Macaca fascicularis: one gene and its partners. The main gene of each other region encodes a partner of the protein of the gene in region 5 in a complex. Links are inferred from orthologs where the notes say so. Each region holds a gene or a part of one and is shown on either strand. Other genes may lie near its edges. The genes, in order: GRM2, FFAR4, S1PR1, SMO, GNAI1, LTB4R and MTNR1B.

Evidence for each region.
Region 1: the proteins of GNAI1 (region 5) and GRM2 are in contact, whole or in part, in a cryo-EM structure (PDB 8JD5), measured with the Homo sapiens proteins. The link is inferred for Macaca fascicularis from reciprocal best matches to the Homo sapiens genes GNAI1 and GRM2. Residues at the interface, in NP_002060.4 of Homo sapiens: Glu28, Ala31, Arg32, Glu33, Val34, Asp193, Leu194, Thr219, Asp337, Asp341, Ile343, Ile344, Lys345, Asn346, Asn347, Leu348, Asp350, Cys351, Gly352, Leu353, Phe354; in NP_000830.2 of Homo sapiens: Lys599, Ala600, Ser601, Gly602, Arg603, Arg656, Ile657, Ile660, Phe661, Ala664, Arg665, Glu666, Gly667, Ala668, Gln669, Arg670, Pro671, Ile674, Pro676, Phe756, Val826, His828, Arg829, Ala830, Pro831, Thr832.
Region 2: the proteins of GNAI1 (region 5) and FFAR4 are in contact, whole or in part, in a cryo-EM structure (PDB 8ID3), measured with the Homo sapiens proteins. The link is inferred for Macaca fascicularis from reciprocal best matches to the Homo sapiens genes GNAI1 and FFAR4. Residues at the interface, in NP_002060.4 of Homo sapiens: Ala31, Arg32, Val34, Leu194, Gln304, Glu308, Lys314, Asp315, Glu318, Ile319, Tyr320, Thr321, His322, Phe334, Asp337, Ala338, Thr340, Asp341, Ile343, Ile344, Lys345, Asn347, Leu348, Asp350, Cys351, Gly352, Leu353, Phe354; in NP_001182684.1 of Homo sapiens: Arg71, Ala73, Thr74, Arg136, Cys139, Ile140, Leu143, Gln144, Arg145, Gly146, Ile230, Ile233, Thr234, Ser237, Arg238, Arg240, Leu241, Ser244, Leu245, Ala246, Tyr247, Ser248, His251, Arg254, Gln258, Arg261, Leu262, Leu266, Leu269, Met323.
Region 3: the proteins of GNAI1 (region 5) and S1PR1 are in contact, whole or in part, in a cryo-EM structure (PDB 7VIE), measured with the Homo sapiens proteins. The link is inferred for Macaca fascicularis from reciprocal best matches to the Homo sapiens genes GNAI1 and S1PR1. Residues at the interface, in NP_002060.4 of Homo sapiens: Ala31, Arg32, Glu33, Val34, Leu194, Thr219, Tyr320, Phe334, Asp337, Ala338, Thr340, Asp341, Ile343, Ile344, Lys345, Asn347, Leu348, Lys349, Asp350, Cys351, Gly352, Leu353, Phe354; in NP_001307659.1 of Homo sapiens: Arg78, Met80, Arg142, Thr145, Met146, Met149, Lys150, Leu151, His152, Asn153, Arg231, Ser232, Leu235, Thr236, Phe237, Lys250, Leu254, Thr257, Thr314, Asn315, Lys316.
Region 4: the proteins of GNAI1 (region 5) and SMO are in contact, whole or in part, in a cryo-EM structure (PDB 6XBM), measured with the Homo sapiens proteins. The link is inferred for Macaca fascicularis from reciprocal best matches to the Homo sapiens genes GNAI1 and SMO. Residues at the interface, in NP_002060.4 of Homo sapiens: Glu28, Arg32, Glu33, Lys192, Leu194, Gln333, Phe336, Asp337, Thr340, Asp341, Ile343, Ile344, Asn347, Leu348, Lys349, Asp350, Cys351, Gly352, Leu353, Phe354; in NP_005622.1 of Homo sapiens: Arg261, Pro263, Ala264, Trp339, Ser342, Phe343, Ala345, Leu346, Gly347, Thr348, Thr349, Tyr350, Ser354, His433, Pro434, Gly435, Ser438, Lys440, Ala441, Lys444, Ile445, Glu447, Thr448, Arg451, Trp535.
Region 6: the proteins of GNAI1 (region 5) and LTB4R are in contact, whole or in part, in a cryo-EM structure (PDB 7VKT), measured with the Homo sapiens proteins. The link is inferred for Macaca fascicularis from reciprocal best matches to the Homo sapiens genes GNAI1 and LTB4R. Residues at the interface, in NP_002060.4 of Homo sapiens: Glu28, Ala31, Arg32, Leu194, Glu318, Tyr320, Thr340, Asp341, Ile343, Ile344, Lys345, Asn347, Leu348, Asp350, Cys351, Gly352, Leu353, Phe354; in NP_001137391.1 of Homo sapiens: Thr53, Asp114, Arg115, Ala118, Val119, Pro122, Phe123, Ser125, Gln126, Lys127, Arg129, Thr130, Leu208, Arg211, Arg212, Phe213, Arg215, Arg217, Arg218, Thr219, Gly289, Gly290, Gly291.
Region 7: the proteins of GNAI1 (region 5) and MTNR1B are in contact, whole or in part, in a cryo-EM structure (PDB 7VH0), measured with the Homo sapiens proteins. The link is inferred for Macaca fascicularis from reciprocal best matches to the Homo sapiens genes GNAI1 and MTNR1B. Residues at the interface, in NP_002060.4 of Homo sapiens: Arg24, Arg32, Glu318, Ile319, Tyr320, Phe334, Asp337, Ala338, Asp341, Ile344, Lys345, Asn347, Leu348, Lys349, Asp350, Cys351, Gly352, Leu353, Phe354; in NP_005950.1 of Homo sapiens: Arg138, Tyr141, Ile142, His149, Arg150, Arg154, Ile223, Val227, Ala230, Arg231, Lys233, Ala234, Lys235, Thr252, Met253, Asn312, Asn314.

Annotation. Positions count from the first base shown.
Region 1 is NC_088376.1:114,721,917-114,725,905, reverse strand, and holds the start of GRM2 (metabotropic glutamate receptor 2), read right to left. Parts: upstream 2,801-3,989; 5' UTR 2,658-2,800; coding exon 1,941-2,657; intron 1-1,940. UniProt on the Homo sapiens protein: Dimeric G protein-coupled receptor which is activated by the excitatory neurotransmitter L-glutamate. Plays critical roles in modulating synaptic transmission and neuronal excitability.
Region 2 is NC_088383.1:102,332,379-102,336,658, reverse strand, and holds the start of FFAR4 (free fatty acid receptor 4), read right to left. Parts: upstream 2,801-4,280; 5' UTR 2,772-2,800; coding exon 2,205-2,771; intron 1-2,204.
Region 3 is NC_088375.1:133,172,650-133,176,731, reverse strand, and holds the start of S1PR1 (sphingosine 1-phosphate receptor 1), read left to right. Parts: upstream 1-1,282; 5' UTR 1,283-1,375; exon of another isoform or gene 1,376-1,483; intron 1,484-3,363; 5' UTR 3,364-3,526; coding exon 3,527-4,082.
Region 4 is NC_088377.1:170,650,043-170,654,285, reverse strand, and holds the start of SMO (protein smoothened), read right to left. Parts: upstream 2,801-4,243; 5' UTR 2,282-2,800; coding exon 1,954-2,281; intron 1-1,953. UniProt on the Homo sapiens protein: G protein-coupled receptor which associates with the patched protein (PTCH) to transduce hedgehog protein signaling. Binding of sonic hedgehog (SHH) to its receptor patched prevents inhibition of smoothened (SMO) by patched.
Region 5 is NC_088377.1:141,212,491-141,215,990, forward strand, and holds part of GNAI1 (guanine nucleotide-binding protein G(i) subunit alpha-1), read right to left. Parts: intron 362-3,500; coding exon 171-361; 3' UTR 1-170. UniProt on the Homo sapiens protein: Guanine nucleotide-binding proteins (G proteins) function as transducers downstream of G protein-coupled receptors (GPCRs) in numerous signaling cascades.
Region 6 is NC_088381.1:92,121,209-92,125,336, reverse strand, and holds the start of LTB4R (leukotriene B4 receptor 1), read right to left. Parts: upstream 2,801-4,128; 5' UTR 2,749-2,800; exon of another isoform or gene 2,314-2,748; coding exon of another isoform or gene 2,181-2,313; exon of another isoform or gene 2,113-2,180; coding exon of another isoform or gene 2,079-2,112; exon of another isoform or gene 2,000-2,078; coding exon of another isoform or gene 1,809-1,999; exon of another isoform or gene 1,573-1,808; coding exon of another isoform or gene 1,423-1,572; exon of another isoform or gene 584-1,422; coding exon of another isoform or gene 439-583; exon of another isoform or gene 135-438; coding exon of another isoform or gene 94-134; exon of another isoform or gene 1-93. Other genes in the region: LTB4R2 (leukotriene B4 receptor 2), read right to left, coding at 2,079-2,112; lipid transferase CIDEB, read left to right, coding at 94-134, 439-583, 1,423-1,572, 1,809-1,999, 2,181-2,313; NOP9 (nucleolar protein 9), read right to left, coding at 2,846-3,003, 3,336-3,441, 3,659-3,895, 4,079-4,128. UniProt on the Homo sapiens protein: Receptor for extracellular ATP > UTP and ADP. The activity of this receptor is mediated by G proteins which activate a phosphatidylinositol-calcium second messenger system.
Region 7 is NC_088388.1:92,034,631-92,038,813, reverse strand, and holds the start of MTNR1B (melatonin receptor type 1B), read right to left. Parts: upstream 2,801-4,183; 5' UTR 2,732-2,800; coding exon 2,509-2,731; intron 1,974-2,508; exon of another isoform or gene 1-1,973.

The DNA of each region.
Region 1 (3,989 bases), on a different chromosome or scaffold from region 5:
GCTGGGCACTTGGCAAGCGGGAATCTGGATGAGAGGTAGGACCCAGTCAGAGACAGGAGGATCACAGCTGGGCACAGCTCTGGGAGCAGCAGAGGGCTCAGCGGGGCCAGCAGCCTCTGCTGAAGCTGAACCACAGGGCACCCTCTGCTGGCCCCTGTGGGAAAGTAGGAGGCTAAGGGCAGGGGAGCTGGCTCCCCACCCTTCCCACCCCCTCAAATCCTGTGCCCCCTGAAGACTCTCTGGTGCCCTCCCCCGACACGTTCTGTTTATCTTCCTCCTGACTCCTCTGCCCTGATTCTCTCCTCTGGCCACTCCTGGATTCTATCTGGCCACCCCTCTCCAATCCAGGCAGAGATGATCTGACAAGTCAGGAGTCCCTTGGCCAAGAGCCGATTTCACAGCTCCCCTCCACCACTGCCTTGAATGTGGCCCACCTCTCTCTGAGCCTTGGTTTCCTCATCTATAAAATGGGTTAAAAACAATAGCAGCTAATATCAACTGTGCCCTTATGACTTGTCAGGCCCCCGATACATACTATGCATGTATCAACTCATTAAATTTCCATGGCAAACCTAAAAGTAGAAAGTATGTGGGCCGGGCACAGTGGCTCACGCCTCTAATCCCAGCACTTTGGGAGGCCAAGATGGGCGGATCACCTCAAGTCAGGAGTTTGAGACCAGCCTGACCAACATGGTGAGGTCAGGCTCGTCTCTACTAAAAATACAAAAATTAGCCGGGCATGGTGGCAGGCACCTGTAATGCCAGCTACTTGGGAGGCTGAGGCAGGAAAATCGCTTGAACTCAGGAGGCAGAGGTTGCAGTGGGCTGAGATCTCACCACTGCACTCCAGCCTGGGAGACAGAGCAATATCTTGTCTCAAAAAAGAAAACAAAAAAAAAGTGTTGTGAATCCAATTTTATAAGGAAGAAACTGTGACACAGAAAAGAGAAATAACGTGCCAGGGTCATGCAGTTAGTAAGTGGGGAGACCTGGCTATTAAGCCCCTCAGGGTTGTTTAACATCAAGGGTGAGGGTGTGTGTGTGTGAGAGAGGGTGTGTGTGGGGGTGTGTATGGGTGTGTGGGGGGTGTGTGGGTGTGTGTGTGGGGGGGGTGTGGGGTGTGGGTGTGTGTGGGGGGTATGGGTGTGTGGGGGTATGTCGGGGGTGTGGGTGTGTGTGGGGGGTGTGAAGGTGTGGGTATGGGTGTGGGTGTGTGGGGGTGTGTGGGTGTGGGTGTGTGTGGGTGTGTGGGTGTGTGTGGGGGTGCATGTGTGGGTGGGTGGGTGTGGGTGTGTAGGGGTGTGTATGGGGGTGTGGGTGTTTGGGGTGTGGGTGTTTGGGGTGTGGGTGTGGGGGTGTGTGTGGGGGTGTGGGTGTTTGGGGTGTGGGTGTGGGGGTGTGTGTGGGTGGGTGTGTTGGGGGTGTGTGGGTGGGGGTATGTGTGGGGATGGAGGTGTGGTTGTGTATGGGGTGTGTGGGGGTGTGTGGGTGTGTGTGTAGGTGTGTGGGGCTGTGGGTGTGGGGTGTGTGGGTGTGTGTGGGGTGTGTGTTGGTGTGTGGGTGTGTGTGTGGGTGTGTATGGGGTGTGTGTTGGTGTGTGGGTGTGTGTGTAGGTGTGTGGGGGTGTGGGTGTGGGGTGTGTGGGTGTGTGTGGGGTGTAGGGGGTGTGTGGGGGTGTGGGGGGTGTGTGTGGGGGTGTGTGTGTGTGTGTAGGGTGTGTGTGTGTGAGGGTGTGTAGGGTGTGTGTGGTGGGAGTAATAGGAGTAAGATGTTCTCCTGCACAGTCTCTAAAAATTGACCGCCATTATGTGACCAGGGCACTTTCTTAGCTTCTGTAAAAGCTACTGCAGGGAAGCTTCTAGTTTCCCTTTTCAGCAGGAATTCTGGGTCACCACCTCTGGCCTCCCTCCCTAGCCCCCATTTGGGTGGCCTCCACGTACCTGGATGGAGACATCACTGTAGGAACCGCCAATAACACCAGTGATGGCAGTGGGAGCATCACCATGGGTGGCGTAAGAGCCGTCAGGGCAGATGTGGCGTGAGCCATCAGCACCACGGCTGAGTGAGGCACGCACAAAGTCCAGTGCCTGCTCCAGCGCATGTGTGTCCTTGGAACAGCTGTCGAGGATGTGCGCACCCAGGCGCACGCCAGGCAGCAGGTGTGGGTCACGGTTGATGCGGTCCAGTGCAAAAAGCATGGCCTCCAGGCGCTGGATGCCACGGTGCTCATTGACAGGACCACAGTCCTCTGCTGGGCCGCCCTTCTGGTGCACTGGGAACAGCCCACCCAGCACCAAGTCTCCCTCCAGGGTCAGCACCTTCTTGGCTGGGCCCTCAGCCACAGCACCCCACAGCAGCAGCAGTGCCAGGAGCCCAAGCAGTGATCCCATGGCCCCAAAGGGGATGGATGGGTCCAGCAGACCTGGGTCTCCAGGGGATGAGATTAGAAGCAGCGAAGGCAAAGAGAGGAGGAAACAGGGACCAGGAAAGGACAGACAAGAAGAGAGATGCGAAGGGACCCAGCTCCTGCAGAGATACAGAAAGACAGAAAAACAGACCAGGAAAAGTGGAGCCTGAGAGCAGTTGCCCCTTCTGACTCTGCCTCCCCACAAGCCCCTTTCCTGGGTACTCAAGAACAAGGGACAGGATGGTGTCATTAAGTAGGTTGAGAAGCTCCTGGGACTCCCCTGGGCCTGTCTCTCAGCCCTGGCCTCAGCTGGGTGAGAGATGGGCCCTATTCACCTACCAAACTCAGCAGTGGGGAGGGATGCAAGCAGTGAAGTCCTAGGCAGAGGACAGGAGACCCTAGCCAATGCTGACCCCTCTGTAAATCAAAGGGTGTCCAAGAACAGTATAAACCTCCCAGGATCCTGAGGTCAATACCTTTGGAACAGACTATGTCAGAGTTACAAACTCAGAGGTCCCCATCCTGAGCCTTGAATTTCCAGAGAGAAGGAACTGCTGTCTAAGGACCCACCAGGGAAGAGGAAAAGACAGTCTCTAAGGGACAGTCTCCAACCCGTGGGGAGACTGGAGCCCATGTGAACACCCAAGGGTGCTAGCCTGTGGTTCTTAAAAAGCCATCCCCACAGTTTCCTGACTGAGGAAGAAATAGAGACACTAAGCCCTGGGAATGAGACAGCAAGGTAGAATGGCTGGCCTCAGGGAGGGTACCAAAGTGGCTCAAGGTCCTAAGTCAACAGGGCAAGCAGATGTTCATGTATGTGTGTGTCAAGGTTGGGGGCCAGAGTCTCCAAACAGTGCTGAGGGTGAGAGTGCGGGACTCTCTAGCTCTATGTAGAACGCTGTTTGAGACTTTGTGCCTCTGTTTTCTCTTCACTCCCAACCCAGCAGAGAAAGTCACCATTTCCAATCTCCCCATCCTCAGCTTCAGGGTCCTGCCCACCCTAGCCATGGCCCTCAGAGACCCCCTCCCTGTCTCTTCCCCACTGTGTCCTATCATTTGTACCCCAGTTGCCTTCCCAAACACACACCCCACAAGGCTCTCACAATCACACGGGCATGGAAAGGCTGGGAGAGGGACATACCTCTTTCCTCAGAACAGGAAAGGAAACTGAGTTTGAAGAAGGGCAGCAACTAACTCAGGGACCCCATGTGCTGGCCACGGAGGCTGGGCCTCTCCATTTTGCCCCTCCCCAGGGCAGGGGCACTGGGCTCCTCTGGGGATCAGGAAAGAAGCAGCTCACCCAGGCAAGCGAGGGAGAAGCGGGGAGGAAGACCAGCACAGATGGGGACAGGGACCCAGATGGGGGCTGAGGCCAAAACTGGTCAAGTCGCAAGCCTCCCACAGGGGAGGCCCAGATAGAAGCTCAGAGGCAGGAAGGGGACAGAAACCCGGAGTCAGGCAGCCGGGGGCCTGGGCCACAAAATCTGGGCAGGGAGCGAGCAAGCCTGAGAGGTTGAGACAAAGACGGAGGCACAGACAGAAAGAAGGACCAGAGGACGTTGGAGCAGGAGGAATGGGAGAG
Region 2 (4,280 bases), on a different chromosome or scaffold from region 5:
ATTCCCTAACAGGGGTACAGCACTAAGTGGCCAAGACACGGAAGGCCCTCGCCTATGCCAAGGCCTTCTCACCCAAACAGTCGCCTGTGTCCCTGTCAGCACACAATTTTAGTCTGGGCTTTGGCTGGGAAGTGACAAGAGTCTTATTTTTTAATGTCATTTGCCAATTAATTAGGATTATACTTGAAATCATTGAAAAAAGGGAGAGGCACAAAATACACATCAGAAAACTTAAGATACCTTCAAGATACATTCTACCTGGTCTTTCATTCCCTGAACATCATTTTCTCCCGTAAGAAAGAACATGAGGTGAAATACCTCAAGTTCTGTGAGAAATATACAAGTACTATAACTCATTGAGAGAATAACTTATTTAAAAAAAATCAAAGAAACTGACAGCAGAAGCCCAGCCCCCACCTGATCCGTGCTTTCAGAGGCATCTGCGTGGCCCACCTTGATTCTCAGGTGTGTGTGGGCTAAGAGCAAGCCTGCCCACTAAGCCACAGCCCGTGGTCTGCCTGTAAATGGCACCCAACTGCTCAGCTAATCCTGGCTTCTCTGGGCCCCTCTTGAGTGGACATGGCCACAAGCTTGCATGTTATTTGATCAAGTGCCACAGGCTTAATGGGGCTCCTGCCCGTTAATCATTCAAGGCCATAAACGAACAAACACCTCACAATGTATTTCACACAAGCATTAGAAACAAGTATTTTAAGTTTATGTTTTAAAAAAAAAAACTCGCACAGGATACAGGAGGCAGACTCCATCCATCCTACCCCATCCCCTCCATAAAGGGCTGTGTGAGAGACAGGTCTAGGAAAACCCCCAGAGAAGCACCACCTCTCTGTTCCAGGCTCTGGAGGGTCACACACCCAGGGGTGTCCCTGGTGGGCTCTGTGTATCTCCATCACTGAGTCTTCCCCTGGTGACATGTAATTTCTCCCTCCCTACTCCCCTCTCTGACCACTTAGAAGGTCCCTCTTTGGGACTGTGATTCCTGTTTGTGTCACGATTACTCAGGGCACCCCATACTCAGTCCTACGTGGAGAGGGAGCTTAAGGGCAGGGGATTCCGGGCCGGAAAACCAGCGACCCCGGTAGGGAAGGGGAGACCAAGAACCAGCCACGGCAGACGCTCCTGGAGGCTGAGCCCCCAGCGCACAGACCCAGGTCCTTTCCCTATCTCTCTCCGCGAGGCACGGAGAACCAAACACACTGGGAAGACAGCCAGACAGCGGCCACTGTCCTCCACCGCGACGCCGCGTCTAAGTCTACTCTCCCGGGTGGATTTCGGCGCACGAACCCTGCAACCACGGGACAAAGCGGCAGAAGAAAAAGACCTGAGCTCGGGATTCCGGACCGCGGGACTCGAGGGGACCCGATCCAATGTCCTGCACTATCCACAGAACCTTATTCAGATGGTGGTCACTCCCACCGCCCCCCCCCCCCCATGACCTAATAATGACAACTATGGACCCGCTACGCAAAACAGAGCTCGTCGGCCCAGCCTTTGTAATCTGCACATTTCAGGCGCCCAGGACACCTTGAAGGTCTAGTGTAATCCTTCCGTTGTGCAGCTGAAATATACTGAAGACCCCGGAAGGGAATTCCGTCACAAGTCCCCTAAAGACAGCATTGCATCTGGGGTCCCTAGGTCATACGCGCCTGCCCACGCGCTTTCAAAGCAGGACCATAACCCAACCCTGGACAGGAGCCCAACTGCTCCTTGAATTACCGATAAACTTCTGGAAGGAGCCCAACTCCTCCTCGAATTACGGGTAAAATACTCTGAGCAAGTTATTATACACTTCGGTGTGCCTCTGCTTCTCATCTGTGAAATGGGCGTGATAATAACAGTATTGTAACACCTGGCGAGGAATCATGATTCAATACAAAGTGATTGGCCACCCTGCACCCCCAAAGTTCCATCTCGCTCCTAAACTACTCGTTAATTAACCTCGGAACAGTCATTGCATTTTGCAAGAATTTGGGGGACTCCACTTTCATCATTTAGGAGGGCGTGTGCACAGCGTTGTAGTGAGATTTAAGAGATTAAACTTCACAGAGATGGGCACAAGGTTTGGCACAACGATTAAGTGCACTAAATGGCTATTGTTGTTGATCATCCTTATCCCAGCTCCCGTCGGGGCCCCGCTTCCCAGCCTGCGCAGGACACCTGCCCGGCACGCACAGAGGGGCGCTCACCTGGTCGGCGCCGGGGAGCCGTTGCGGGACGACTCGGAAGAAGACGCAGAGAGGCAGAGCGGCGACCGCCGAGTAGCCCCAGATGAGCGTCAGCAGCACTGCCCGCGCCCGCCGCCCAGGACCCCGCACGCCGCGCTGCAGGTGCACGATGCACACCATGCGCTCTAGGCTGACCGCGGCCAGCGTGAGGATGGTGACGCTGCCGCTCAGGGTCATCAAGTAGAAGAGCAGGTGGCAGGCAACGGGGCCCAGCAGCCATGCCTCGGTCCAGCGCACGGCCAGCACCAGAGGGATCGCACTGATGAAGAGCAGGTCGGCGCAGAAGAGGTTGAGCACCAGGCAGGCAGTCGTGCCGCGGCGTCGTCGGCGCGCCACCAGCACCAGGGCGCACACGTTGCCCAGCAGCGACACTGCAAAGATGAGCGCCAGCACGGTTGTCTCCACTGCGGCCAGCAGTAGCCGGTGGTCGCCCTTGACGTCGGAGAAGAAGGAGAAGCGGGTGCGGTTGGCTTGCTCCAGGCTGCGCAAGGGCGCGTCGCCCGCTGCCCGCGCGCATTCAGGGGACATTCCCGGCGCCTGGCGGCCCGCAGCGGTCTGAGAGAGTGCTCATCTGGGAGACTACTGAGTGCCAAGGCGGGGAAAGAGGGAGGGAGGCGGTTGCGAAATCTCACCTCTGGCCCCCTCCCTTCTGAGGAGCGCTAGCGCTGGGTGCAGGGAGCTGCGCCCGGGGCGCGCGGGAACGAGGAAGTGCCCGACAACACTGGCTGCAAACACCACAGCTGGGCGGGGAGGTGGCGGCCTAGCCGGAAGCCTCGCGCCCTCTGGCCATTTTAAAGTGTACTCAGAAGCCAGAAAACTCACTTAGCGAATTCCTCGAGCCCCCGCAGGGCCTGCCTAACCTCCTTCATCCTTCAGGGACACTGGATGTGCGAAGCCTTTTGTGAACGGATTTAGCTAAAATTGATTTAAAAGTGTCAGAGCTGGCCTTTGGAGATTATTTTGGCCTGTGTCGTTCAGATTTTACTAAAGAAACTCCATGGGTCTGGAGGTAGATCCTAAAGCAACTTGTAATGAGTCCATATTTTTTGTGGGGGAGAGAGGTAGTGGAGATCTTTTATCACTACTTAATAACAGATCTTTAGGTGGATTATCTACTCCCTCTACCCCAGATTTTTAATCTATAAAATGGGAATAATAATACCTCATTAGGCTATTGTGAAGCTCACCTAGAGTTTGGCACACTTGGCACACAGTAATTACTCATTAAATGTTATCAAATGTTATTGTAACTAAAATGCATATATATTTTGCATTCTGAACAATGACATAAAATGCTTTCTTGTAAAAAGGGTGAGTCCTTCCAAATTTTTTAATAAACTTGCCATCCCGGGAAGACAGATATTTCAAGGCCAGATACACACACAAGCTATGAATGTGCCCCAGGTGCCACAGTCTGAGGAGCACTGGGCAATCCAGTCCTGTTAGAGATAAGGAAACTGAGGCCCAGCCAGAGTGACTTGTCTAAGCTGTCCTCTGGTTAGTAATGAAAGTCAGTCACCTGTCCCCGTCCCACGTGTTTCCATCACACCACTGCAGTCTGGTTTTCTGTAAATGAGGAAGCTGGAGATGGAAAAGTATGCCTGTGGCCTAAGATCCAGTGGCCACTTCCCCAAGCAGCCACCCTCCTACCACCCACACCTTCACCCCCTCTCCCCTCTGCCATATTACCAGGCCTCTCCCAGTTGCCCATTCTGTCTTCTAATTGTCTTTCTTAAGGCTGGATCTTAAGAAATCTAAGTACTGACTGGGCGCAGTGGCTCATGCCTGAAATCTCAGCACTTTGGGAGGCCGAGGCGGGTGGATCACTTGAGGTCAGGAGCTCCAGATCAGCCATGGCCAACATGGTGAAACACTGTCTCTACTAAAAATACAAAAATTAGCTGGGTGTGGTGGTGGGTACCTGTAATCCCAGCTACTTGGGAGGCTGAGGCAGGAGAATTGCTTGAAACCAGGAGGTGGAGGTTGCGGTGAGTCAAGATCACGCCACTGCACTCCAGCCTGGGTGACGGAGCGAGA
Region 3 (4,082 bases), on a different chromosome or scaffold from region 5:
AGAAGTCAGGGGTCTGTTGTTTATTCATTCTGCCTCCTTCTGAGTCATTCAGGTACAGGGTGTGTCTGCCAATTGAAACTGCACAGCGGAGGAAGTTTTTGAGTTCACATCTGCCGGGATGGGAAAGCAGTGCGACCAGGGACTGGGTGGAAACCTTTACAACAGTAGGGCAAGGGCAGAAGCCTCCTGAGCTTGTCACGCAGGCAGATCTGACCAAGGCCGCCTCTCAGCCTCACGTTCTTAAGTAGCATCTAAGCAAAAGAAAAGGGTGGGCAGGTTGCTAGTAATGAGATTTGAGGCCTCTGAGTCGACTCTCAAGCAGAAAGTGAGAGAAGGGTGCCGGCCCCTGCTGGGCAGCTGCAGTTGCTCCGCATCGCGGGGCCGAGAATCTTCCCCTTCGGAAATTCCGGAGCTGCCCAGGCGTTTTGAATCTCTCAGGACTCGGCAGCAGCCCACCTCCTCAACGACCTCTCCATTGGCCAGAATCTGGGACACACAGTCTGACTTTGCGCTCAGCTGAGGGAAACCCCTTGCCCAACACCAAAACCGGCGCTGGTTCATTTCTCTGTGCACTCCGGGAAATCCACTGCCCTCTCAGACCGCAGTTTCGAGGAGCACCAGGATCTGGGGTGGCGCGGGGAGAACAGGAACCTCCCGGTCCATTCTCCCTCCCGGGCTGCTTGTTTCCTCTGTACTTCTCGCAGCCCCTTCCCAGCGTCTCCTCCCCAGAGCGCCGCCGAGACTCGCCGGGCCGCGGCTCTGGTTTTCTGCTGCCCGCGTGAAAGTGGCTCGGGGAGCTCCTGGTCACAAGCTAAGCACACCGATCCTCCTAGGGCTGCGGGGGGTGTGGGACCAGGGCGGTGCGCTACGAGACTCCGGGCCGTCCTCTGCCCCTTCAGACTTTTCGAGAGAAAAGTTTCCCAAGTCTCTCCACCTCCTTTTTTTTCAGGGGCTCGGGAGAATCCTCTCCACCGCCAGGGATCAGCGTGCATCTGGGCGAGGGCAGTGATTTATACATTAGAATCCAGGGGTTACCGGGCTCCGCCCCTTCTCTCTCTCTCTCTCTCTCTCTCTTTTTTCTTTCATTTGTTGTTTGCGGAGGAGGAGTTCTTTTTTTTTTTTTTTTTTTTTTTTTTTTTGCTTCTGCCCCAGATCTTTCCTGGACAGTGCTTCTCAGCAGTTCAGATCCGGGGGCCCCTAGCTGGCAGAGGGCGTGGGGGGTTAAGGCATTAACCCCTCCCAGCGTCTTCCTGAAGAAACCACCCAGCCTTGGCGCGGCGCTGGGTGACTTCGCGTAGCAGGCAGGGAACTGGCCGCGGCGAGCGGGACTGGCCATTGGAGTGCTCCGCTGCGGAGGGAGGGGACCCCGACTCGAGTAAGTTTGCGAGAGCACTACGCAGTCAGTCGGGGGCAGCAGCAAGATGCGGAGCGAGCCGTACAGATCCCGGGCTCTCCGAACGCAACTTCGCCCTGCTTGAGCGAGGTAGGGGGCGGCGAGTGGCGGGGGACTGCGGGCGCGGGGAGCCCGGCTGTGGTAGGGCTTAGGTGTCAGAAACGAATTTTTAAGCCGAACGAGGCAAACAAAAACTTTGAAAACATGCATCTCTGGGCGCTGAAAATTTGCATCTGTGGGCTACTAAGGAGCCCAACTCGATCGGATTTTTCTTGGGTACTTGTGATTTACGGAGTTTGGAAAAAAAGGTTAATTCCCAACTGTGGAACCTATGGGGGTAGGGGCAGTGAAAGCTGCGGTTGGTCGGAGGAGTAGTAGGGAAGGTGCTAAATTTTGGAAATCCTATAGACAAAGAATATGGTGGGTGGTGTGGGGCGTAGGTAATGGCTTAAACTAGTACTGCCCAGGAGCAGGGTATAAAATTAGTTGGGGGAAATGTGGAGCTTCTTGGCTTGAGCAGCCTCTGCTGTTCGCGGAGTTGCTGGGATTGCTCTCATCTCTATTACCTCATTTTATTGCACTGCTGAATTACCTTGAAATATTTAAGCAACTTAGAAGTAGACTTCTGCTGACCAGTGCGGTCTTAGAAAGTTAGTTTGTTTGTAACTTTCTAGTCCTAGGAGAGGAGTCAACGTGTTGGGGGACGGCAGTAAATAAAACTGCCCACGCAAATTTAGCAATGCACCAGGGAGCAGTTTAATGTGAGTTTCTGAAGAGTAGTTTTGCGCTCGAAATTAAAAATGTGGTAGCATGTATTATTGCTGTCATGAGTAGTTTGATTTCTCTCTTTTGTGTATGTTTTGGCTAAACTAAACAAAGCAAAAAATATTTATGCGATCAACTAGTGTACGAAACTTCTGGGATTTGCTGCAATCTGTTATGAATGGTTTTAACTGAATACCTTTAAATTTACTTGCCCTGGCTTGGGGGCGGTTGGGCGGGGGAGGCGGGGAGAAGAAGAAGAAGAAGAAAGAAAAGGCAGTCGCTTCACGGAGGCGCTAAGCTTTCCTGTTTACTGCAAGGCGGGGCGGGCCTGGCTGCCCACACCTCACTGCGCCCTCCGACCCTAGGCACACCTGCTCCTAGAGAGTTATTAATAGAGCCCCCAAATGACTTACGCTTTCAAGTGATTTTCCTGCAAATCTGATTTCTTGCATGGCAATTAGGAGGTGGTGCTCGTCTCTTTGAACAGGGGAGCTAGGGGTGGGCATGGGGAACAGAGGTGTGTGTCTCTACCCTCAGACTGGCAGTCTAGTCTTTTCCGAGGAGAGACGTGGGCTGGTGTTGAGCGTGCAGCTGAGCTGGTGACTGCTTCAGACAATTTCATGGCTGGAAATACGGGGGTGGGAGGGTGGGGGGTGGCGAGAGGGCAGGAGTGGGGTTAAAATGGGGTGTGCTCTCTAGGTTTCCCATTCCCCCCACTCCTTGTTTTCCATCTTCTTTTTTGTTTGTTTGTTTTTGTTTTTGTTTTGGTCAACCCACAGCCAACATCATAATTCCCACTTCTCTTTGAGTGAATGTGGCCATAGAGTTTCTCCCTCTTTTTCTTCCCCCTCTTCCTTTTTTGGAAAAAAAAAAAAAAAAAGGGAAGAAAAAAAGATTTTTTTTTTTTTTTTAATCTCTCTGGGCGCTGAAAATTTGCATCTCTGGGCTACTAAGGAGCCCAACTCAATCAGATTGTTCTTGGGCACTTGTGATTTATGGAGTTTGGAAAAAAGGTGAATTCCCAATTGTGGAACCTACAGGAGTAGGAGCAGTGATTTTTTAAAAAAATTCTCTCTCCCTGAGCTCTTCCCAAGTTTCTTTAAAACAAATCAACAGTAACACAATTGGAGCAGTGCCTTAGCTAGAATGAATTATGCCAGTATGCTGTGGCTCTTTCCCTGACTCTCTCCTCTGACTTGTTTAAGGCTGCGGTTTCCGAGGCCCTCTCCAGCCAAGGAAAAGCTACACAAAAAGCCTGGATCACTCATCGAACCACCCCTGCAGCCAGTGAAGGCTCTCTCGCCCTGCCCTCTAGCGTTCGTCTGGAGTAACGCCACCCCGACTTCCTGGGGACACAGGGTTGGCACCATGGGGTCCACCAGCGTCCCGCTGGTCAAGGCCCTCCGCAGCTCGGTCTCTGACTACGTCAACTATGATATTATTGTCCGGCATTACAACTACACGGGAAAGCTGAATACCAGCGCGGACAGGGAGAACAGCATTAAACTGACCTCGGTGGTGTTCATTCTTATCTGCTGCTTTATCATCCTCGAGAACATCTTTGTCTTGCTGACTATTTGGAAAACCAAGAAATTCCACCGACCCATGTACTATTTTATTGGCAATCTGGCCCTCTCAGACCTGTTGGCAGGAGTGGCCTACACAGCTAACCTGCTCTTGTCTGGGGCCACCACCTACAAGCTCACTCCCGCCCAGTGGTTTCTGCGGGAAGGGAGTATGTTTGTGGCCCTGTCAGCCTCCGTGTTCAGTCTCCTCGCCATCGCCATTGAGCGCTATATCACGATGCTGAAAATGAAACTCCACAACGGGAGCAATAACTTCCGCCTCTTCCTGCTGATCAGCGCCTGCTGGGTCATCTCCCTCATCCTGGGTGGCCTGCCCATCATGGGCTGGAACTGCATCA
Region 4 (4,243 bases), about 29 Mb from region 5:
AACTCATAGTGAACTAATGGAACTAATGGTGCTGGGCTCAGTGCTGGCGTCTCTGCAGGACCCTACCCTGCCAAAAGGCACAGACAGTGAGATTTCAACCTGCACAACCAGCAGATGGTACTAACTCATACATGTTCCAGCTTAAACTACTTCTGTCTGCTCAGCAGCTGCTCTCAAGAGTATGGGCTGGAAAGAGGTTCATACCCTTCCTCCTTGATCTGATGGTAACTGCAAGGAGGCAACATCAAACATGCATTTAACTTGGGAAAATTAAACCATGGGTCCCTGCAAAATCAATAAAGAGAGGGACAGAAAGATTATCCTTTGACAGCATGAGCAACTCAGAACTGGGTAAGATTCTAGTGCTGAGAGATTTGAACTTTCCATTCAGCTCGCTCCTAAACTCAAGTGGTGCTCAAAGCAACCTTGCTTAATCTTACTTTGGTGTTCTTTTTATTACTATTATTCTTTCAGTCTTTTGCATGAACGTAACTTTAAAATTACAATTATTATCTTCTATGTATACCCATTGTTATGTATGAGTATACATGTAACACATTTATGCAAACGTCGTAAAAGGAGTGTATATGCAAAACGACATCAACCTTACACTACAGTAATCTGCAGAGTTTTCAAAACCACTGTTGATTACACATGGTTTCTGTCTAACGTGCTGTGCTGACTTTAGAACCTGATCCCCACAAAGGATGCAGCTCCACCTTATGGGTACCATGGATACCATCCTCCAAGTTCCTCCTCCAGCATCTGAACCAAGCCAGGAACCTTATGGACTTGTCCAACATCTGACAAAGGCTGAGAACTTGTCAATGACAGGCGGCCTACATACACTCCCTACATTACGGTCCTCACCAGCCCCCTGGGCAGAGCTAAGACATGGGGTACCCCAGCCCTGTCAAAAGAGGGAGGCTCCCAGTTCTGCTCCTGGCTCCTGGTTTTCTTTTCTTTTTCAAGAACGGTTTTAGAATCACACTGGCTAGAAGTGAGGGCTGATAAGGCCAGTTCCCTTCCCCAGCACCCTCCAGGCCTCATCTAGAAAAGTGACAGGTGGGGAGAGCGTATACTCTACACTGCTAAGGAAGGACATTTGGGTTCAGTGTGCAGTTTTTCAGACTCTGCCACTCCAGTGAGGGGGCTCTGGGACTTCAAACCACCATGGAAGTGTCCACAGGCTCTCAACACTCCAGACTTAAGCGTCCTTCCACAGCCCTGACCAGCCTGGGTAACCAAATTTCCAAAGAACACACAAATAATCGTTAGAAAGGTCTTATTCCTTCATAACCTCCTGCATGCGTCAGAGTGCCCGTTTTTCAGATGCACAAACTGAATGAAATCTCCTGTGAAAGTCAGACAAGATCACAGTTCTCCAGGATTCTTTCCTGTCTCCCAAATCAAGATTTCCAGGACTTTCTGGTCACTTTCTAATAACTCATCGTTAAGGAGGTTTCATTTCCTTCAAAACTTCACTTGATCATGTCCCCCTACCCTTCCCTCCAAATGCCTAAACCTCTTCCACCGTCATCCCTCCCCTTTTCCTCTCCAACTCCAATTTCCCCAGGGTCTTGAACACCTCCTTGAATCCCCTGGCACCCTGCTTCCAGAGTAGGTGGAGCATCTCCTCTTCTTACAAAATGTCTTTTCCCGTGGCTTAGAGCCCCCTCCTCACGGGCCCCTCATCCCCGCCATCCTTTGCTCACCCACCAGCTCGGGACCTTTGTGACCCGCTTCGTCAACTTTCTTGCCCTCCCTTTCCCATGACCGAGGGTCCCATCCTGCACGTAACCCGCCCCCAAAGTTTCGGACTCTGTCCTTCCAACTCTCCTGGGTGCTGTCCCCGCCCTCTCCGAGGCTCAGGCCTGAGCCTGTTCTTTCCAAGGGTGCCCCCGTCTTACCGTAGCACCTCCCGCCCCCCAAACCCGGCTCCGGAGTACTTACCCGACCAGAGCACGAGCTTGCCGTGCGCTTCCTCCTGGGAGTCCGAGTCCCCGGCCAGCAGTGTGGAGGTGGCCCCGTAGGGCAGCACGGAGCCCAGGCACACGTTGTAGCGCAGCGGCTCGCAGGGGGCAGCCCGGCCGCAGTGGCTCAGTGGCGGCGGAGGGCCGGTCACCGCCGCGCTCCTCCTAGCGCTCCCGCCCGCGCTCCGCGGCCCAGGCCCGGTCGCGTTCCCGCTCGAGGACGCCCCCCGGCTCGGGCCCCCCAGCAGCAGTAGCAGCAGCCCCAGGAGCGGGAGCTCCGGCCCCCGCGCGGGGCGGGCAGCGGCCATGGCCAACCCCGCCAACTCAGCAAAAACCCCGGCGCCCCCGCCCGCTCCTCGGAGCCCACCGGCCACACGCACGACCCTTGCGGGCGCGGAGGCGGCTCATGCGACCTGTGCGCCCAGAGAAACCGGGCCCGGGCCCCTCCGGACGCTCCACGCGCCCCGGCCCCTCGGCGCCCAACTTCGCAAACTTTGGAACCTGGGGCCCATGTTGGGCTGCGGAGGCCCGGACCGGGATGCACGACTCCCAAAGCTCTCGCCTCGCAATCCAAGTTGTCTTCAGCCCTGGGAGCCCCCTGGGCCCCCAATCCCCAGCCCCATTCCCTCTCCCACCATTAAAGCCAACTCCCAGCCCTGCGAGGGAGGCCAGGCGCGGGCCGGGGGTGCGAGTGCAGCTCCGGCTCCGCCCCCGCGCCAGCCCGCGGCCCGGGAGCCACCTTCACCCCAGCGCGCCGCAGCCCCCCGAGCTCTCCTCGCCGACAACTCGGCTCCTTTGTTGCTCTAGCTCGCTGGGCTCTCTGGAATGCACGGGCCTCGCGGAGCCAAGCCCGGCCCCCCTGCGCCGAGGCTGGGGGAGGGACTGGACGAAGAAGGAGGGGAGAGATGGGGAGGGGAGGCGAGAGAGGAGGAGCGCAAGCGTCAGCGTCCCCGGCGCCCGGAGGGGCCCGGGCTAGGGGGATCTGGTGACCCCGCCTGCCGCCGCCCCGCGCCAGGGGGAAAGAGATGGGTGGAAATCGTGGGCCGGACCTGCAAGTAGAGACTCGGCGGGCACCTTGGTTGGTCTGAGGTCGTCTGCAGGAAGCGGACTTTTCTCCTGGCTTAGGGTGGGAGAGACAGGGATGCCTGAAGTCAACGGGGACTTCTATTCCAACTCTGCCCCGTTCTCCAGGCTCGCCAGTTTTTCCTGCTTTGGTTAGATTTTCCGACTGATCCCGGGGCCCCATGGAGAAGAACCTGGGTTTGGGGTTTGTGCTTCTCCAAATCCTTCCAGCTCGGTACCTTTGAAAGAGATGACCTCAGAGTCACTCACAGCAGCTGCTCCGGCTGCTGTTACCTGCGGGAACAGGTGTCTGGGAAATAAACTTGCCAACATCAAGCCTTTACTGCTACAAATATGTGAAGTCTGAACTGTGGTTCCCAGGGACTGGCCTTGGTGATGTGAGAAGGAAGCCAGTCCTTCTTTGATGGCCCTGCCGCTCATCTGCTCTGGGAGGTTTCTGCTACTCCTCTTCCCCACTCTGCTCATTTTGCCTTTCCTCACTCCTTTGCGCATCACGCCTTTGGTCACCACACTTAATTTCCCACTGCAGCAGTTTACACCTGCACAACCAAGTATAACCCAGCATAACCACAAGGCTCCCACCAGGAGAGTAGACTTGCATTGAGCAACTTTTTCCTTGTTGCTAATCGGGCAGCACACCAGGGTGGGTTTTCCTTTCTTACGCCTGGAAGAGTCGTTCACGGCCTAGCGGTAGTGGACTAGTTCTGTTACTTTGGACAGTTTAAGTGCATATTAGCTATTGCACTTCAACTAAATCAATTGGAAAGTGAGCGAGCGAGAGAGAGAGAGAATTTAATTCAATTTAGCGAAGCTTTCTGAAATTCCAGCATGTTCATGGCACAGAGACACCCTGGAAGAACCTGAAGACTTCCATTTTCCTGTGGATACATGGCTTGCTCTCAGGAAACATAGCATGACAAAACAGCAACGTTTCCTCCTCCAGGGAAGGGATCTTATCTCATTCTCTGTGTTCACAAAACATCTAGTTCACTTGAGCATACACATTAATCACTTGATAAAGAAGCTGCCAAAATGAGATGTACCATGAGTATGCTATAGTAATAGGGGAGAGAGGTCAGCGTGGATAGAAGTAGAGGAGGTGGGTTTTGAATCCAGGACTAAAGTATGAGTAGGAGGAGTTAGAATCAGGACATAGAGGCTGGGCACTGTGGCTCATACCTGTAATC
Region 5 (3,500 bases):
GGTCCTTCTGTTACTTTCAGTTAAAAAAACAAAACAGAACAACTTTGGTCAGGTCCCAGATGCATTTGCCTTATATTACATTCTGTGTTGCTGCAAGACTCTAGTCTACAGAGATCCATATATAAGTACTCATTTGGTTTGAAAATGCATTTTACCATTAACTGCAAAACTTAGAAGAGACCACAATCTTTTAGATTATTTTTTATGATGACATCTGTTACAGCATCAAAAACAAACTGCACATTCTTAGTATCTGTGGCACATGTGAAGTGGGTGTATATTTCCTTTGTGTCCTTTCTTTTATTGAGGTCTTCAAACTGACATTGAATATATGCAGCTGCCTCTTCATATGTGTTTGATCCTGAGATGGAAAAAGGAAAGAAATATAATGTAGAAAGTTAAAATAACTGCTTAAAATACTGAAGTCAGTTTCATACAGCTTCATTCATGGACTCCTTAACTGTGCTTTCCCTTCTAGAATGGGAGACACTATTTCTTCTAAATGAAAAACACTCCATGTTAATTACCTTTAATGACTGTAAGTTATCCCTAAAATTAAACAAAAAATTTCCTCTACATGGCATTCCGTGTTCATCATGATCTTTGTTCCTGCCTCAATCTCCAAAGGCTAGATCTTTTATCCTCTTATCTTCTGTCCTCTACACCCCAACTCAGATGCTTGATGACGGCATGCTATTTCAGTTCTGGCTCAACGGTGGATCAAAAAATGTTGGCTGAATGCTGATCAGTATTTTTTCCTCCCTTTTCTATATATACATTAATTAGCATTCTTCACTCATTTTTCTTTATTCAAAAATTGTACCAAGGTCTACAATGATGTTTAGGAGTATGAGGTTACAAAAAAAGTGAATGACACACTCCAGCTTTCAGGTTACTGACTAAAAAAGACTCCCTCTGAGTACAAACACTCCAGAAATTGTTTGGCAATATCTAAAGATAATCACACACACACTCTGACCCCGCAATTCAGTTTCTAGATATACACTTGACAGAACTGTGTATCACTGAAGACACAGAAGAAGTGAGAATGAAAGTACTACTGCTATACTCAATAACTGAGTTCACTCATAAGTGAACTATTGAGCAAAAGCAGCTAGATGCAAAAAGATCACATACTGTATGATACAACACTGTTTGAAAAATGAATTGGTGAGGACAAAAGTCTCACCAATTAATAGAGTCTGTGGCACATGTGAAGTGGGTATATATTTCCTTTGTGTCCGTTCTTTTATTAAGGTCTTCAGTGATTATCAGTGAGTAATCAGTGATTACTCTGTGTATCGGATGTGAGTGTGTACGTGTGTGTTGCGGGGAGGTTTTGATTGGTTAAGACTGGGAGGAAGCATGATGGGACTTTCTGGGGCCTTGAAGCTGTTTGGTTTCTTCACCTGAGTGGTGGATACTGGTATGTTCACCTTTAAAAATGCACTTATGCTGAGGGTGTGTGTGTACATATGTACGTACATAATATACATAATGTATACAATGTAATGCTATATGTAATGCTTCAATAAAAAAATTAATCATCCAAAATTATCTGCCAGGCTTTCAAGGTCTTCTACTATCCAGCCTGCTCTGCAGTGCCATCATTCTGAGATCCTCTCCTCCACACTGGTGCTCAACCCAGGTCCATGTCATGAGGACCCAACATGCAAACTGCCACCTGTGGTACTGCAGTACTTCCTCTTCATTCTACTTTACCGGCTGAGATCTCTGCCTGCCTTCACATTTGCTCAAAATTGGCACTCCATCTAACTTTTCCTAATTAATCAAATCTAGCTGGGTTCTCTATCACTTAAAAACTTTTGTCTCCTCCTAGAAATAACTATTTCAGTTTTTGTTATACTGCTTTAAAGTCTTAAATTCTTTTTCAGTGTTGAGTCTCCTAAACTAGAATGTGAACTCCTCAAGAGTAAACATCACACCCCACCAGCCCCATACTCCTTTTATATCTTACAGAATCCAGTATAATACAATGTGACAAATGCCCATAGGAATGTTGTGTAATGTGCTATGATACAGATTATGAGATTTTTATTAGGGATAAAAAGGTAATAAAGTTATTGTCTTTAAGTTTACATTTTAACTATTTTATATCACTAGAAATCACATACTTTAAAAAATCAAATTTTATTAAATCCTAAGTTTCGTTCTCCAAAATTTTAAAGCAATTAACAGCATCTTGTTGGCCCACAGAAGCTAATGCAACTGCTAAATTAAAATATATTTCAGCCAAACAGCTTACATTGAGTGCCTACCTCAATTTGCTCTACATATCCTAGGCAGCTAGCTAGATTACCCTCAAAGTACAACACACATGAATGAACATTCTTCATTCTGATTTTAAGTCTTAAGAAAAGAATGGCAATGCAGGGACACGAGAGCAAATATGGTATTTTTTTTTTAATGTGAGATAGAATTATCCTGAACAAAGGTAAGCACAGGTGATAACCAGGTTCAAAAATGAAGAACTGGGAGGCTGATGACAGAATCAAAAAGGAAAGAGAAGAGATCTGCGTTTAAACAAGAAGAGGAGTTCTGTTTGAGCTTCGGGTGCTAAAAAACCAACCAACCAACCAAACAAACAACAAAAAAACATGTATGTTCAAGCAGTTGGTAATGCAAATCTAAGGCTCCAGAGATAAATTAGGGCTGACCATAAAATTTAACCTATTGAGAATAGCTATGACTACGAAAGGATAGAGAGCTAAGATGACATGACTGCAGATGAAACTGGTAAAGTGGCAACATACAGTAAAAAGAAGAGGAGGAGAAGGATGACACATGAGCAGACAGACAGGAGATAAATCAAGCAAGTTGCTTAGGGGCTACACAGGGTTCTTCCACAGCCATAGGAAATTGAGAGTTGCGGCTGAAGCAAGAAGCAACTGAATCAATACTTAGGGCATGCCATGGAGATCTTAAATAATAATCTTAACTCTGGAGATGTGAAAGAATTATGTAATATTCTTTTTGTGCAAAGATTCTGAAGTTAGGGATTATTAAGCAAAACACAAGCAAAAATTCCTAAACACACTGTCTACTTGGCAAGGAAAGAGCTAACAAGTATATTCTTAGTTGTTCTGAAATCCCTGTAGCTATACAATATTTATGGATTCATTTGGGGCTCTGGTACTATGAATTAATACAAAATGGCTACATCATAGAATACGATAAAAATAAACTAAAAAATATATTCAAATAAGGGAAAAAATAAGCCATCTTGACTCTGGATAACTTATTTCCAATAAGCACAAAAAAATGTTCCTGAACACAGTGATTCAGGACTATGACTTCCAAAAAGAAAGCAAAGTTTTAAAGTAACTGTGTGAAATTAGTTTGAACTGAAGTATAATTTCACAGTACGCAAAAAGAGCTATAACAATTAACATGATTATATTTACCAAAGAACCCTCCCCTTTTGGTTTCAGTGAATGTTTAATTAAATGTAGCCTAGCCGTGAATGGTGGAGGAGCAGG
Region 6 (4,128 bases), on a different chromosome or scaffold from region 5:
CCCAGGTTTGTAACAGAAAACACCACTAAAGCCCCAGCACAGGAGAGAACCACCCAGCCCAGAAGTTCCAGGGAAGGAACTCTCCCATCCACCATGGAGTACCTCTCAGCTCTGAACCCCAGTGACCTACTCAGGTGACTGCTAACCCTCCGCTCTACCCTCTACCTTTAGGGGATATAAGCAGGGCAACAATACTCCACTCAGCCCCTAGGACACTAACCAGTACCCCTTCCTCTTCTGCTCCCCACTCCATAGTGGGCTTGTCAAGCTCTTGACCCACCCACCCCCACCTGTACTCCATGGTCTCTCCCTCATCCCTACCATCTATAAACCTAGATCTCTCCCTCCCTAGCCCTCTAGCCACTCTACCCCCATCACGCCCTTTACACTCACTAAGCCCCTTCTTGCCCCTTCTTGACTTTTCTTCTCAACTACCAGGTCAGTATCTAATATAAGCTCGGAGTTTGGACGGAGGGTCTGGACCTCAGCTTCACCACCCCAGCGACCTTTCCGTGTCTGTAATCACAAGCGGACCATCCGGAAAGGCCTGACAGCTGCCACCCGCCAGGAGCTGCTAGCCAAAGTAAGTAGGCCAAGTTCCTTGGTTCCTTTAGCAGGGGTAGCCAAGGGGCTCCACAACATTGGCAACTTGTGATGATGGAGCAGAGAGGGCTGAAGTCACACAGCTGCCTCCTCCCACTGAGAGCTCAGTGGGGTGGGCCTCATGAGTTCCGGTCAGTTTGTTCATTTTCCACCTAGTGAGCTTTTCTATGGGAGCAGGGGTTAGCAGGAAATAGGGAGAGTTGGAGGGATGGAATTCAGAGGCCAGTATGGAAGGCAATTTGTATGACAAATCAAGTTCAAATTCTGATTCTGCCACTTCCTGGCTGTCAAACCTTGGGAAGTTGTTCAACCTATCAAAACCTCAGTTTCTTCATCTATAAAAAGGCAATAATAACACATCACCTCCTAGGGTTGTTGAAAGGAGTAAGAGGATAATGTAGGTAAAGTCCTCATACCCGGCACAGAGTAAGGACTCAAAAAGGTTAAACACTATTACTGAAAACACTTCTGGAGAACTCTGAGGGTGTGGGAAGTGAGGTGCAGCATTGTAGATAAGACAGAAGGGTGGACTTCATGAGAACCTGGCTTGCTTTCCAATTCCAAACCAGGAGTGACTTGGAGGGGAGCAAGGGGAGATGCCAATGACATGGTAGGAGCAAAGAGGAAAAAGCTCAGCCTCTAGCTAGGATCCCCCAAAACCTGAAGAACACGGAGAGCTGCAGCCTTTAGGAGGTATCAAAGTGCCGGAAAGTCAAGGTGGGACATCGACCAATGTCTAGAGCCAACTGATGGATGTTGGGCAGCTAAAGAGGGAAGGGGCATGGGATACCTTCCTTCTTGCTTCTTGCCATTGGGCAGGCATTGGAGACCCTACTGCTGAATGGAGTGCTAACCCTGGTGCTAGAGGAGGATGGAACTGCAGTGGACAGTGAGGACTTCTTCCAGCTGCTGGAGGATGACACGTGCCTGATGGTGTTGGAGTCTGGTCAGAGCTGGAGCCCCGCAAGGGTAAGAGGCCTATATTGGAGCTGCTTCCACTGCCCGTCCTTTAGAGCTTTCCCGGGCTTCCTCTCTAGCTTAACCCTGATCCTGGGGACCAGGTGCAGGGGGAGTTGTAGAATTGTTAAGGATGTCACACAGTGGACAGAAAGCCTAAGCGAGGGAGAGTCTGACACGGTGCCGATGGAGATTAGTGGTGGGTGTCTGGTGTGAGGATATACTGCACTGACAAGGGTGTCCTACAGAGTGGAGTGCTGTCATATGGCCTGGGACGGGAGAGGCCCAAGCACAGCAAGGACATCGCCCGCATCACCTTTGACGTGTACAAGCAAAACCCTCGAGACCTCTTTGGCAGCCTGAATGTCAAAGCCACATTCTACGGGCTCTACTCTATGAGTTGTGACTTTCAAGGACTCGGCCCAAAGAAAGTACTCAGGTCAGAAATCAACATGTCATACTTCCCCATCCCCTACAGTTGGATAGTCCCCATAATTCCTCCTCCTGCACCCACCTACCCCTAGTTAGCTCTTGCTTGTGGAAAATCCTCATCTCCCGGCTTGATGGCTTCCTCCCAGGTTTCCCAAATCATCTGATTTCCTCTTATCTCTGCCCTTCAGGGAGCTCCTTCGTTGGACCTCCACACTGCTGCAAGGCCTGGGCCATATGTTGCTGGGAATTTCCTCCACCCTTCGTCATGTAGTGGAGGGGGCTGAGCAGTGGCAGCAAAAGGGCCGCCTCCATTCCTACTAAGAAGGGGCTCTGAGCTTCTGCCCCCAGAATCATTCCAAGAGACACACTGCAAAGACTATGACAGCATCAAATTTCAGGACCTGCAGACAGTACAGGCTAGATAACTCACCCAATTTCCCCATTGTCCTCTGATCCGCTTGTCAGAGAACCTTTCAGCATAATGCCTCACATCCCAAGTCTGTACCTTTACCTGAAGAATGCTGTCCCTTCCTAGCCACCTTTCTGGCCTCCCACTTGCCCTGAAAGGCCACAAGCCTGTCCCCCAGGCATCTTGATCCCAGCCTGATTGCTGCTACATCTAACCCCTACCAATGCCTCCTGTCCCTAAACTCCCCAGCACACTGATGACAGCCCTCTGACTTTACCCTGAGATGTCTTCATATCCTTCACCACAAACTAACAAAAACATTTCCAATAAAAATATAAAATATTTACCACTACGACTTTTGACTCCAATTTAAACCAGGAAAGAGATGGGGTGGATACCCCCTTTTGCCCTCCCCCATCAACACGCAGTCCCAGATCCAAAGCCTCAGTCTTCAAGTATGGAGTTCAATGCCCGCCTCCGCTTGGCCACCGCACCCTGCTGCTGTTCCCAAGCCTCTCGTCGCTTTAAGAAGGTAGTCAAGGCCACATTTCGAGCCACATGGTGGCCGAAAGGGTCTCTTATCAGCTGCTGGTTCTGCTCCCCTGCAAAGGGAACCACTCATGTTTAGTACCACCATGCTCAAAGACAGACTCTACCTGAGGTAAAGGTCCCTCCATTTCCCCCAGACCCTGCCACTGGGGTACAGTGAACACTTCACTTTCCAAAGAACAGAAGTCAGAGGGAGGGGTGAGGGCAGAGGACTGCACAATTAGTCAGCGGGAGGGAAGGGGAAAGCAGACTGCTAAGAACCCATGAGCAAGACCACCCTTTGGAACTAAAGACTGTTGAATTTCAGTAGACTTCCCAGCCACCCAGTGATCTGGAGTAAGAGAAGGGAAGTCTGGAAACATCAAAGAGAGGGGCTGGTACTCACCCAGCTCAGCAGCAATTTCTTTCCGAGCCCCCAAGGCTGCTCCACTCCAGATGGCATCTAGCACACGGCTGCCATGGCGACTACAGGCCAGAGCCACATATTGTCCCTGTATTGAGACAAGCAAAGTAGGTCTCCCTAGCAAAGTCCACAAAAGTGTATTTTGGGGGCTTGCGGGGAGTGAATTTTCTGAAGAGTTTAGGGGCTGAATTAAAATAGTCTAGTAATTACATAGCCTTTTGGAGTCTGAAGGTACAGTCCTGAGAAAGCTCATATTCTCTAAATGGATGATGGTGGGGAATCAAGGCAGAAGCCAGAAATCTAACCTTTAGGTTCTGCAGCACACGGCGGCGCTGCTTGCGCGTCACAGAAGGGCTGGTCAGGATGGCATCGAGCACATGAGAGCCAGCAGGACTTTGGGCCAGGACCAGAAGTTGTGGTCCCGTCAAGGCACCCAGACTTCGAAGTACAAGACCAGGAGTGGAGAAGTGCAGCAGATGCTGGAGCAGTAGAGACCCAAGGACTGTTACGTCCCCCAAGGCCCTGGCTGCTGCCATTTCCACCTGGGAGCGCAGAGATAGGAAATTAGGAGGCACCAACAAGCCAGGTGGATGAGCCCATCCCCAGAACACTGCCACCTCCACCTGGATGAAGTCACCACTCTCACCTCAGAAGTCAGAGGCTTGCTAAACCCTAGGAGGCCTGGCTCCCAATTAGTCACTGGCTTGGCCTCTCCTCTACCTCACCTGGTGCTCTGCAGGCACTGCCCCCTCCTCCTCCATCAGTCCATAGTACA
Region 7 (4,183 bases), on a different chromosome or scaffold from region 5:
TATCCCTGAAAAAAAGGACAATTAATGTAACCACTCACCCTGCCATCAGGAGCGACACTGTTAGGGATGATACAGAGCTGCTCCGCAGGGGATGGGTTTGTGATAGGCAAGTAAAGGATACTGGTGTCTCCTGGGAAACATGCTGTGATCTCAATATGGGCTCTGCATCTTGGTTATCGGAAATATATGTATTCTCATTGTCACAGACTTAAGTTATTAATACCAATGATTTAAGGAGCCAGACTTCAGTATGGAAAGGACTGAAGAAACGTTTCTTAAAGTAAATCCAAACTCTTCAGTAAGACAAGGCCTGATTAAGAGTAGAATGGGTGCTGTAGGTTTTAAGTACCTTTTGAAATCTCACTCTGCTGAGATCATTTAGTTCAAGTCAGTACTACAATTGTTTGTGACTATCACCAATAAAGCCAGTGGTCACATAAGAACTGGTTAAATTGCAACACTGTAGCAGTGGCAGGAATTGATGTCATTTAGATATAGTGTTATTTATTTATTTATTTTTCCGGTGCTGGGCTGTAGCAGACACATCGGGAGGTAGGAAAGATAGAAGAGAGGATATGCCAGCAATTGAACATGCTCATGACCCTCCCCAGTGACGCTCTCAAATTGGGAAGGATTCTGTAGACCCTGCCAGGATCACAGAAAAGCCCAGCCCTTTGTAGGAGGCAGTGGGGGAGGGGTGCTTTTCTCCTTCCAGCAGAAGGAAGCAACTCCTACTTCCCTCAACCACCTTTCTCACGGTGGGCAATCCAAATTACTGAGTAGGGAGCCACGGCCTGACAGACCTGCTCTAAATACTCAATAAGTCAGGGACAGAAGGGGCCAATGTCAGAACCAGGAGGGCCGATTTCTCCCCCACAGAGCCAGGAGTTGTCTCCCTTTTGCCTCCCTGTTCAGGGAATGAATGTTTATGATGGCTGCAAGGGACAATGTCTCAAAAATATTAAATGCAGTTTTCTAATCATAACCTGTTCTTCCCTAATATATAAGCTTTTCTTCAAAGGACACAATATTTTGAACAATGTATTCCAGAAAACAGCCACCACTACCGAAGTGGCTGAGTTAGAAAGCTTACTTCTTCTTCATAATGTTATGTTTCCCATTTGATGGCTGGATACTCACCGTTGGAGCAGTTTCTTGTTTGTTTTTTTAGATAAAAATCCTAGAGTCAGCCGGACGCGGTGGCTCATGCCTGTAATCCCAGCTCTTTGGGAGGCTGAGGCGGGTGGATCACTTGATTTAGGTCAGGAGTTTGAGACCAGCCTGGCCAACATGGTGAAACCCTGTCTCTACCAAAAACATAAAAAATTACCCGGGTGTAGTGGCACACACCTGTAATCTCAGCTGCTCATGACCCTGAGGCAGGAGAATCCCCTGAACCTGGGAAACGGAGGTTGCAGTGAGCCTAGACTGTGCCACTGCACTCCAGCCTGGGTGACAGAGCGAGAGACTCCATCTCAAAAAAAAAAAAAAAGAAAAAAAGAAAAAATCCTAGAGTCACAGACCACACCAAATAGATATTACCATTTGCTAAAAATGGTCTGACTCCTTAAAAAAGCATTTTTAAGCTATACAATTGTTTTTCTGCTGCTATCTTTCCATTTTAATTCACTCTAATATTTGAATTTGCCCCCAAGGCCCAACTTGAGAGACTGCAAAATTAACAGGTCACCGAGCTCCCTCCTAGGCTGAAATGGTCAGCATGCCCCATGACCTGTGAGGGTGAGAGTTCAGACACCGACCCCTCCTCCCGCACTCTGGTTTTCTTTCTTTGAAGACCTGACTAGGGGAATATTGAAACGAGAGTGAATTGAAATAGGAGAAATATTTTCAGGTTTGCAACACGATTTAGCCAAGCCATTGCTTTAATTTTCACAGTTAATCCCAGGAATTCCCAGTCTTCAGAAAAGACTACAATATTTCAAAGCAATTTAGTGCAGTCCAAGCAGAATCTGCAATTTCTGCATTTACACTCTGTCCACTGGAATTGGGTCTTCAGATGACCTGGAGATAAGTTTTTGACACAAAACCTACTGAAATGCTTCCATTGATTAACTCATTTTTTCAGCAAGGATTTTCTAAGCAACTACTACATAAAGCTACAGTGCTTGGCAAGGAAGGAAGTGGGGTGTCAAGCACAAGTGGTGTTCTGTGGCCTGATGTGGGCACCTCTGGAAAGGCACACATTGGAGCGCGACGGGTAGCGATGGCATCCAGCAGCGTGGGTTCCCACAGCGCCAAAAAGCGCGCCAGTAAAACTTTCCGTAATTCCCTCTGTGCCAAGTGCATCCTGGGCAGTCGCATTTCGGAGGGGCAGAACTCACCCTAACTTTTGAGTGCAGAGTCAAACTTAGGGACTAGGTTAGAGTGAAGGGAAAGGGGAGCCCGGGCTGAGGAGGGAAAAGGCAGCGCATATCCCCGGGTCAGGGACAAGACCAGAGGACAAGGAAGGGCCCGACCCCAGCACCCAGCATCAGGAATGGTGCTCACCTGCGTTTCGGAGCTTGCGGTTCCTGAGCACGGAAAGGATCACCAGGAGGTTGCCCACAACGTCCACGGCGGTGGTGACGATGAGCACCACGGATAGCGCGGGAGCCACCCAAGGAGGTCGAGGGGTCCTGGAGGGTTGCCCCCTGCCAGTACCCAACCAGCCTGGGCGCACTGCCCACCCGCCGGCTTCGCAGCAATTGGCGAAAGAGCCGTTATCTGACATTGCAGACTCTCCCGCGCTGCGCTTTGGCCACCGCGCGGCCTCGGACAGCCGCAGGGCTCGCGCAGTACTGAGCCGGGCGCTCCCTTCCCTACCCAGCTCCCGTGTGCAAGGGAGGAGGCCAGTGGGGAGGGGTCTGGAGGAGATAACTAATTAAGCGTGGGCAGGGGATGGAGAAAAATATAGGAATGGGAGGAGGACTTGGGGTGCAACCGTTGCAGAAAGGAGTGCGTCTCTCAGCGGTGCGCTCAGGAACAGCTGGGACCACACAGCTGTCTCTGCCACCCCGCCCCCAGCACGTGCCTAGCTCATCTCAGGCCGCGGAGCGCGTCTAGCCTCTGTTCCTCGGTACACAACTACACCCGAGACCCCGATTTCCTCTACAGCGTCCCCAAGAGAAGCTGTGTCCAGCTAGGAACATCCAACCCAGGTTTATAGACTGGAGAAGGTGCTGATGGTCGGGACCTCCCATCAGTTGTTAAGCAAGGCAAGGTTTGAGGTCCCACAGGGCTGTGCAGCTCGAAAGAGAATGCAGCTCCTAAGATGTGGGGACAGAGCCCAGAACATAGTAGTGTAGACTTGTATTCTAGGGAGCTGCAGAAAAATAGGAACCTAGCCATTTTCCGAGCACTCGCTGGGTATTGCGGGGGACATTAGTGATGTCTCTACTTGGTCCTCTTTATAAAGCCAATATTTTAGTATATTTACCAATATATATTTACACATAATACTTAAATAGATGTATGGCCAATATTGGGGGTTGTGATGTGGTTTTTGGAGGGGTTAGGACAAGAAAACGAGTGAGGCATGATTACAATAAAGAAGGAACTCGGGTGCCCTTTATTAAAAGTGCTTGAGTCGTGATCTGGTGATAATAATAATAGATAACTTCTCTTGGGGGATAATCTTATGCCAAGTTTGTCCTAAGCACTTTTCACACCCACTAGAATCACTAAAATCAAAATGACTGATTATCCTAAATTTGTGGAGGAAGTTAAGCAACCAGAACTCTCATACAGTGCTTTTATGAGAATGCAAAATGGTACAACCACTTTGAAGAGCTGTCTGTTAGCTCCTAATAAAGTTAAACATACACCTATTCTATGACCAGAAGTTCCAAATGAAAAGGAAAAATATTTCCACAAAAAGACGTGCACAAGAACGTCCAGAGCAGCCTTGTTTATAGGAGCTCAAATCTGGAAACACCCACAATTTCCATCAACAGAAGAACGGATAAACAAATTGTGGTATGACCTTGCTATGGAATACCTCTCAGCTATAAAGATGATTGACCTACACAACAGCATGAATTGATCACAAATATGTTGTATTGAACAAAAGAAGCCAGATACCAAAAAATATGTACTATATTATTCCAAGTATATGAAGTCCAAAATCAGGAAAAATTAATATATTTTCTAATAGAAATCAGAAAAGTGGTTACATTTGAGGGTG